Linked DNA regions of Mus musculus. The protein of the gene in region 1 interacts with the protein of each later gene in a biochemical or structural test. Links are inferred from orthologs where the notes say so. Each region holds a gene or a part of one and is shown on either strand. Other genes may lie near its edges. The genes, in order: Slc9a1 and Tesc.

Evidence for each region.
Region 2: the proteins of Slc9a1 (region 1) and Tesc form a complex in vitro, tested with the Homo sapiens proteins (4 studies listed by BioGRID and IntAct, with this or other methods). The link is inferred for Mus musculus from reciprocal best matches to the Homo sapiens genes SLC9A1 and TESC.

What each region holds. Positions count from the first base shown.
Region 1 is NC_000070.6:133,414,480-133,418,280, reverse strand, and holds part of Slc9a1 (sodium/hydrogen exchanger 1), read right to left. Parts: intron 2,981-3,801; coding exon 2,730-2,980; intron 2,001-2,729; coding exon 1,783-2,000; intron 382-1,782; coding exon 179-381; intron 1-178. UniProt on the Homo sapiens protein: Electroneutral Na(+) /H(+) antiporter that extrudes Na(+) in exchange for external protons driven by the inward sodium ion chemical gradient, protecting cells from acidification that occurs from metabolism.
Region 2 is NC_000071.6:118,026,092-118,030,679, forward strand, and holds the start of Tesc (calcineurin B homologous protein 3), read left to right. Parts: upstream 1-1,651; 5' UTR 1,652-1,838; coding exon 1,839-1,896; intron 1,897-4,588. UniProt on the Homo sapiens protein: Functions as an integral cofactor in cell pH regulation by controlling plasma membrane-type Na(+)/H(+) exchange activity. Promotes the maturation, transport, cell surface stability and exchange activity of SLC9A1/NHE1 at the plasma membrane.

The DNA.
Region 1 (3,801 bases):
CGTCACTTCATATACTGATTGACTTCTCATTGTCACAGCTGAGAACTGAGGCCTCAAAGGGGGACGGCTTGCCCAAAGTCATGCGGCAAGCTAGTGACAGCATGCCCACAGCCTTTTTTTTTTCTACCACAAAAGTCGGGGCCCCCAGGCAGGGGTCTGCCCACCCCAGGCCCAGCACCTGCACAAAGACGGTGAAAAAGATGACGGTGATGATGGCGGTGAGGAACAGGTCACACATGGGGAAGTGCTTCTTGTCCAGGAGGTAGCCCAGCGAGAAGGCGATGGCCCCTCGCAGGCCCCCATAGGCAATGATGAACTGGTCCTTGGGGGTCAGCTTGACAATGCGGAACTTGTTGATGAACCAGGTCAGGACCAGGACACCTGCCAGGGAGCAGGCGGAGGAGAGGTCAGGCGGTCCAGGAAGCTCCTCCCACTACGTCCAACCGTCCAACCAGCTCACTCGGTTCCTGGGTCCCGCAGCCCAGGAACTCCAGCTCACTCATCCAAAACCTTGGTAGGTCTTTAAAGGGTTCCTCAACCTGCATTTGTTCTGAATATCCCAGAGGCCTTCACGGGGTACAGGTCAAGGGACTGGAGGAAACAATCCTGGTACTGAGTTTGAACTTATTAAAACAGGTGGGAAATAATTACCCTATTGTCTCTACTTTTCTAGAGACTGGGAATTGTTCATAGTGAACCACTGTTTCGAAGTGTAGGCTGTGAGGAGGGATGCAGAGAGTGCTTGCCCTGGATCTGGGCAGTTCACAGCTGAGATCCCAGCACTTGGGAGGCTGAGGCAAAAGAATCACCAAGAGTTCTAGGCCAGCCTGATCTGTATAGTAAGATCCCGTCACAAACAACTAACAACCCTAAACAAACAAACAAACAAACCTTAAAAACTGTGGATGGGGGAACATACGGTGGACCTCTGGCTCCTAAGTGCACGTGTGCGGAAAAGGGAGTAAGATAGAGAATGCAGCAGCGGCCTGGCCATGGAGGCCAGGAGAATCTAGCACAAGGGCAGAGCCCACAGACCCGATTCCATGGGTGACACTAGCCTGGTAGCTTTGGACACGTGCGCCATGACAACAGAACACTTGGCTCAGGGTTCCAGGCTGGGTTGAGGACCTGAGAGCCACCAGGCTTTTGGAGAGTCTAGAGGCCCTTCACCATAACTTTCTGCGACAGTGTCTGCGGAGCCTCCACGTGAGCAGGAGGCAGGCATGCGGCTTCTCCCTAATGCTCTCAAATGGTGTCAGCGTTGCAGAGAAGCAATGGGAGCACCCAGAGCCATTCAGAAGGGACAGGGACAGGGACATACTGCACTCTACATATCTCACCAGCCCCTCCATATGCTATACTACAGACACCCCGACACACTGTACTAGACACCCGCACTTAGTTCCTCCACACACTGTACTATAGAGACCCCACAGGCCAGCCCCTCAATACACCGTAGTGGGCACTCAGCCTATCCTCTCTACATATGATATGATACCATACAATACAGCCCAGCTCTTAGACACATTACTACGTAGACACAAACAGTACTACACACAGACACAGTGCAGCTCTTAGAAACATCAACACACTTACAAACCCACAACCTAGCCCCACACTATATTACACATAGCTACTCCATAGCCCAGCTCCTCTCCCTACAGTCACGTGTATACTGTTTCTCTCTCTCTCTCTCTCTCTCTCTCTCTCTCTCTCTCTCTCTCTCTCTCTCTCTCCCTCTCTCTCTCTCTCTCCCCTCCCTGGCCTGGGCCTGGCCCTTACCCAGCACCCGGGCGATGAGGCAGAAGAGCAGGGTGCTGATGACGAAGGTCCAGTTCCACTGGTGGGAGCCGGCCACAGTGGAGACGCCGAGGAAGATGAAGATGAGGGTCTCACTGACGCTGCTCCACATCTTCAGGAAGTACTTGATGGTGGTGTGGGATTTGTGGGAGATGTTGGCCTCCACATAGGGGCGCATCACTACTCCTGAGGCGATGAGGCTTGGGGTGAAGAAGAACGGGGTGCAAGGTTACAGGCTGACAGTCCAGGCTGAGCAAGCACTAGCTCACTGGACAACTGTGAGGGCCAAACGCCCATGGTTTTCCCTTGATCCTCACACCAAGTACACAGGGCCAGCAAATTCAGACGAGACACGGGAGTTTTAGAAGAATTAAGTCACCTCCACTGTGCACACTGCGTCTGCCCCGACAGCCAGGGCCACACTCTGTGGTCTTTTGGGTTCACCCCTTCCCAGTATAAAGTTCCCAACACACAGGGTTCCTCTAGGGAGCTGTGCTGGCTCCTTCCCCGCTTCCCAGAGTCCCCGGTCTAGGTTGGCCTGCACACTTCTACTTTCCTTGTGCCTCACTGACTCTTCTCAGGGGCCTCTGAGATTCAGGCGTGGAAGATGCCTGGTGAGCCCTTCTGGGGAGCCTTGTCGGCTTCCATCTTTAAGAAAATGGGAGGAAGTAGGACTGAGACCTAAGACTTCCAGCTCAGTTTCCTAGGGTAGTAGTAGATTCTGCCCATAATGTTCAGATTCCTGAATCCCAGGAGTCCAATGGAAGTGGCTTCTTATGGAAGGCCTCTAATGACCTGGGCCACGTCAGCGTCTACCATGCAAGCCTGGAGCCTCAGGTGCTGGGGCGCTCCTTCGTGACCACAGAGATCCGGAGACTCCATGGTAAGTAACTACCCCACCAAGCCCGTCACCTGCCACTCCGACTCACGCCATGATTCCGGACAGGTGGAAGAGCTCAGCTGACAGGTAAGCCATGTAGCTGTAGAGGAAGACGAAGAGCGGCTCGATGACCCGGATGTGAGAGGTAAATCGGGAGGTGAAAGCTGCGATTACCCCGTAGACCACGCCCACAAACACCCCACCGAGGGCCACCACGAAGAAGCTCAGGAAGCCGAGGAAGATGTCCGAGATGCCCACAGAGTCATAGCTGGCAAATTCCTCAAAGAGGTGATAGAGGACCTGGGGAGAGCACACAGGCTGGTAGGCAGGAGGGCAGGGCCCTGGCCCCATGGCTCCCTGACACTGTCCTTCCACAATTCACAACCATGGATTCAGACCTCAAGGCAGCTAAGTGCTAAGTGTGTAGAACCTAGCCTGGGGCTTACGGAGCGGCACGTGCTAGAGGAGCACACTGGGGGCCTGCAGCACCCCCTGCTGGTAATCAACATACACTCTTAAAGCTACAATCCTTTGCACACATGGCCTCATTTTCCCGTGCTTCAGTTTTCCACAAGGTGGGGGACAATTGGGGTGCTCACATCACAGGGCTGTCATAAGAACTAAGTAAAGCACTCAGCATGATTGGGACTCCCTGTGGTACTCTCCTTCAGCACAAGTTTAGACAGTAAACCAGGACAGGACCAGTCAATCTCTGAAAGTAACTGGGGCCAGGTCATATGTGACCTGGGATCCACCAAGTAGGACCGAGAAATCTCCATTTAAACAAGCTGCCTGGTTACAATGGGCAGCCAGGCTCACATGCTGTGGAGCTGGAGGCCCTGGAATGGGCCACAGCCTGCACATGGTGGGCACAATCTCTACTGGGATGCAGGTCAAGAACCTATGCCCTTGGTAGAGGGAGGCTCAGGCAGGCCCAAAACCTATTCCTTCAGTTTCTGAGGGACTGACTGGCACGGCTGCTCTCAGTCTAATCAAGTCTAGCCCTAGAGAGCTCTGCCAGAAACCAGCTTTGGGGGAGGGGAGATGTTCCAGGCCTGGAAAGAAGGGGCAACAGGCAGGAAAGAGTGAGAGGACAGAGCTGATGCCAGGCAGCTCAGGTG
Region 2 (4,588 bases), on another chromosome or scaffold:
AGCCATTGGTAAGACTGAATGAAAGCGGTGGCGTCCTGGACCAGCCGCATTAGGCTTTGTGTGGACAGAGCCCTGCTGGGTGCTCACATCACTCACTGCCAGAGGGGGAGGGTGGGTGCCTCCACCGCAGCACCCACGCAGCTTCGCGGAGCCCGCTGTTCTGTGGGGCCACGGGTGGGGACAATTACGGACTCTGAAGCTCAGTGTGGACATTGAGATCTCTGCGCTCCTGAGAGCTCACCCTGGCTGTTACTCCCACTCCATCTGCAGCGAAGGTGGTGTCTTATCCCTGTTTGCAGCTCAAAGATCTAGTCGGGACCTTGCACATAGTAGACCATTAAGAAACACGCATTAAATGAGTGAACAAATACACAAGTCAAATTGTCGCCCCCTTTCCTGAGGACTCCTCGCAGCCCCCCGGGGGGAGGGGCGGGCTCTCCTTGGCAACCACACCCCAGCCTGGTGAAAATAGACACTTGATAAGGCCTCTCCGAGGAGGCCTACACAGAGATCCCAGAGGAAGAGGGGGGCTCGGTAGAAGGATCGAGCACCAAGGGAAGGCACTGTCAGCTTGGAGTGCGGGTGTGTCTGGGGTTGCTGGCGATGGGGGAGGGGGTCTTCCCCGGCCTGGAGAATGCAGATCCTCTGTAGACAGAAAACTTAGTTGCAGGAAGACATAGATCATGGCATATTTTAGAAACCCCAACATCCCGGGACCTGGGGAGCCCTTTCCTGCCCTCCACCCCACAGAGATCTGTCTGGGTTTTTAGAATTCTTGGAGACCTGAGGCGGTCCAGCCTACTCAGCAGCGATGCCCCACAGCTAAGCTTCCCTTGCTTCTCGGGTGGGAGCAGTTTCCGTGAACTCTGGGCAGCTGCAGGGAGGACGGGGGATCTTCAGGGAGGATCTCCAGGGGCAGACTCAGCTCCCCGGAGGCTCAGAGTGGGTGATAATCGGGGTTTCAGTGGTGGGGCCGGTTCTTCTGGCTCTGCCGAGACCCCTGGGTTGGCTAGAGTGGGCTCCTGAGAACGCCAGTTCCAAGGATGCGCACCCACGGCCGTGACTGGCGAGGTGAAAGATCGTGGGGATCCCAGCACTTCCAGCCAGAACAGACTCTTGGCAGCTAAACCGGACGTCACTAAGCAGAGCAGGGCATGGCGGGCTCCCAGGGCAGCCTTGAGGTTGAATGTTTCCCTCCCGGAGCACCAGCCCCTTCCTCATCAATTGAACAGGATTCCATGGTAACCCGGCGCCTTTCTCCCTCTGCGCCCTACGGTGAGCATCTCACCGCAACCCTATTTGGAGATGGAGAGATGGTGGTTAGACCAGCAGCAGGACTGGCCAGTCAGGACCTCCTATCTCATCAGGATCCCCGGGACTCATCGGTCTCACCTTCTCTACTCAGTCCACGCCTGTCACCTGCGATGCGCGCTCCTCTGGGCGCCCACCTAGGTGCAGGGCGCGGGGGAGGGGATCTTTCACACTGGGCACACTCGCGTGCCCTCCTCTGTCCCAGCGCCGAGGCTCCGCCGCTGGACCCCGCAGAGTGGGCGGAGGGATGCGGGTCGCGCTGCCCGCAAGCTCATCCCGCGGGGCTGCGGCAGGGGCAGAACCACGTCGTGTCCTCCCCCCACCCCCATTCCCGCCCCCGCGGCCGCGAGGGAAGCGGGCGAGCGCTAGGACCGCGCCGCTCCGCCTCCCGCCGCTATAAGAGGCCGCTCGAGCCCCACGCGGAACCGGCTCCGCGCCGCTGTCCCCGCGTCCCCACCCGGCTCCAACGCAGCGCAGCCCAGGCAGTCCCCGGCCTGCGTGGGGCGCCCGGGGCCCCGCGGCGCACCATGGGCGCTGCCCACTCGGCGTCCGAGGAGGTGCGGGAGCTCGAGGGCAAGACCGGCTGTGAGTACCACACCGTGGCCGGGAACCCTCGTTGGCGGGGACCATCGCCTGCATGCCCCCGCTTCGCGCCACCGTGCTGTGTGACCTTGGGCTAGTGGCTTGCCCTCTCTGTGCCCCGTTCTCGGGCTGCTTCTGATGGGTTCCCGCCAGCCGCCGTGCGGGCGACGCCGCTGGGAGGGGTTGGCAGCGACTCGGGCCTGGGGTAAGGGTGGCCCGAGAGGCGACTTGACCCAAGCCTCACCCGACCAGGGCGGAGCCCGGCAGGTAGCCGTGGCTTTGAGGGCCGGCGCCCCGGCAGCTCGGGAGAGCGCCGAGCGCGCGCTGCACCTGCAAGTCTGCGGCTGGGGAGCGGGGAGGAAAGTTTGGAAGTGGCGGGACCGGGAGGAGCCGCGCGGTCCGCGGTGACCTTAGGCGGGGGTCACCCTGCCGCCTCCCCGTGCGTCCCCACCCCCCGGCTGCAGGCTCGGGCACCGAGCCCAGCGTCCTCCAGGCTGGCCCGCACTCCCGGGACCGCAGAGGCCGGGCGGGGCGCGCCTGGGGGAAGCGCCCGTCCGCCCCGCGCTTGACCCTGGGCTCAGAAGCGACCAGGGGACCCGGACTTGCACGAGGGTGGGCAGGCGCGTGGACTCAACCTGTTTCGGTGGTGGGACAGAGCGGGTTGTGAGTTCTGCCAGGACTGTGTGACCTTGGACCAGTCAGTTCCCGTCTCAGTTTGCCTCCTCTGAGGAATGGGAGACTGGCGCACCCCCAGGGTTCCTGCGGCAGGAGGTTGCGGCTGAGTTGAGAGCACCCAGTCAGCCCCCCTCACCCCCCCAGAGGGGGACTGGGCTGGCACTCGCCTCCCCAGAGCCCGGTGAAGTCATAGAAAGTCCCCAGCTGCTGAGCGTCTACACCGCGCACACAGTATGCGAAGTGTGCAGCGGATCCGCGAGAGTCGTTTACACGACCCACTAAGGGCGCGCGCCATCGAGCCAGTCCCGGTGAGGGTCGACTGTGAGTGCGCTGCCTGGAGTGTGCGCACGGCGTGCAAGGGGAACCGCGTGCGAGCGGGAGTGTGGGCGCACTGTGTGCAAACCGGGAGTGTGTGCACGCACTGTGTGAAAGTCGAGAGTGTATGCACACTGTGTGTGAGACAAGCAGGTGTGTGTGCACAGTGTGTGAAAGTCTAGAGTGTGCGGGCACTTTGTGAAAACCAGGAGTGTATACACACTGTGTGCGAGGCAAGCAGGTATGTTTGCACACCGTATTGAAGGCAAACTGAAGTGTGTGCACTTCAATCAAACTGAAGCGTGGTTGTGTGTGCACACTGTGGGCACTGCAGTTTGAAGCACGGTTTCACTTTGGGGCTCGGGCTGCTCTGATCGGGGACACTCCCTGCCTCAGTCTCCCCAGTTCTGGGACTGCAGGGCAGCACCCTCCCCCACTTTTGTATTTTCTCTCTGAATTCATTTTGCTGACTACAAACCAAAAGTTTCATAAACCTGCCCCCGCCCGCCTCCTCCCAGGCCCACGTGATGGAGGACAGCAGGAGTCCCCGCCCACTTTGACTCGGTTTGACCCATTGCCAGTTGCTGTCCCAGATGGTGTGGGGAGAGCTGGGATTCCGGGTGCAGGTTGGGTCCCCACCGGAGCAGCACCCAGGGCCTTCTGGGGAAATTCCTGCGGGCTGTGGGTTTGACAGTGACGGGCTGCAGAGCATGCTGGGAGCCTTGTCAGTTTCCTGGGCCCAGCCTCCCACGGTGACAGATGCTCAGGCTCAGTGGCTGCCTGGAGGTGGCTGGGGTGGCTTCTTCACTTGCTGCCTGTGCTCAGAATTCAATTCTAAAGGGAGCTGGGCGGGGGGGGGGGGGGGGGGAACGACGGGACCCAAGGTTATGCCACCCCCACCCCTGGGGTCCCACAGGCCCTGAAGGTGCTGGTCTAGTCTGGGCACTTACACCCGTTTGGCAGATCCTTAGAGTTTTTGAGGATTTTAGAGGATGTGGAGGTGACCCAGAGAGGCCAACATTCCCACACAGGATGCACAGGACACAGATCCACCCCACCAGTCTTAGGTTTCCAGGAACAAGCAACAGGGGGAGAGGATGGGAAGAGGTAAGCAGGTAACTAAGGAGCCAGTCATGTGACAGTGACCAGAACATCGGAGTGGCAGGTGCCATGGCCCTGTGGCAGGAGGCAGTTGATCACCTCAGTGAGGTTGGCCGATGGATGACATAGCAGTCCTCCAGGCTCAGGCTGCACTGCAGCCCCAACTTCAGGGGTCCCCTGTGCTCCCCGTGCCTCAGTTTTCCCTCCTGTCAGATGGACATAGCAATAGAACTACATTGAACTAGGTCTTGGTCCCTGTATCCCTGCTGTGTGTGTGACCTTCAGTAGGTCACTGCCTCTCTGGACCTCAGTGCTCCACCTGGGTGTCGCCGCCTCTGAACAATTGTGTGGAGGAGATATTAGCCAGGAAGGCTCCGGACGTGGCGTGGGGTTGGACAGGGCTGTGGTATGAGAACTTATACATGTCCAGGGGAACACCACTGCACTTGGGCTTGCCTATACCAACACTGAGAACTTCACACAATACACAGTAGGTGTGTCTTCACCCACATCTTCCAGAAAGGAGATAAGGCTGTTTCCTCTCCTGAGGGAAACTGAGGCTCGGAAAGAGACAGCATCTTGCCTTCAGCACCACAGCCAGGAG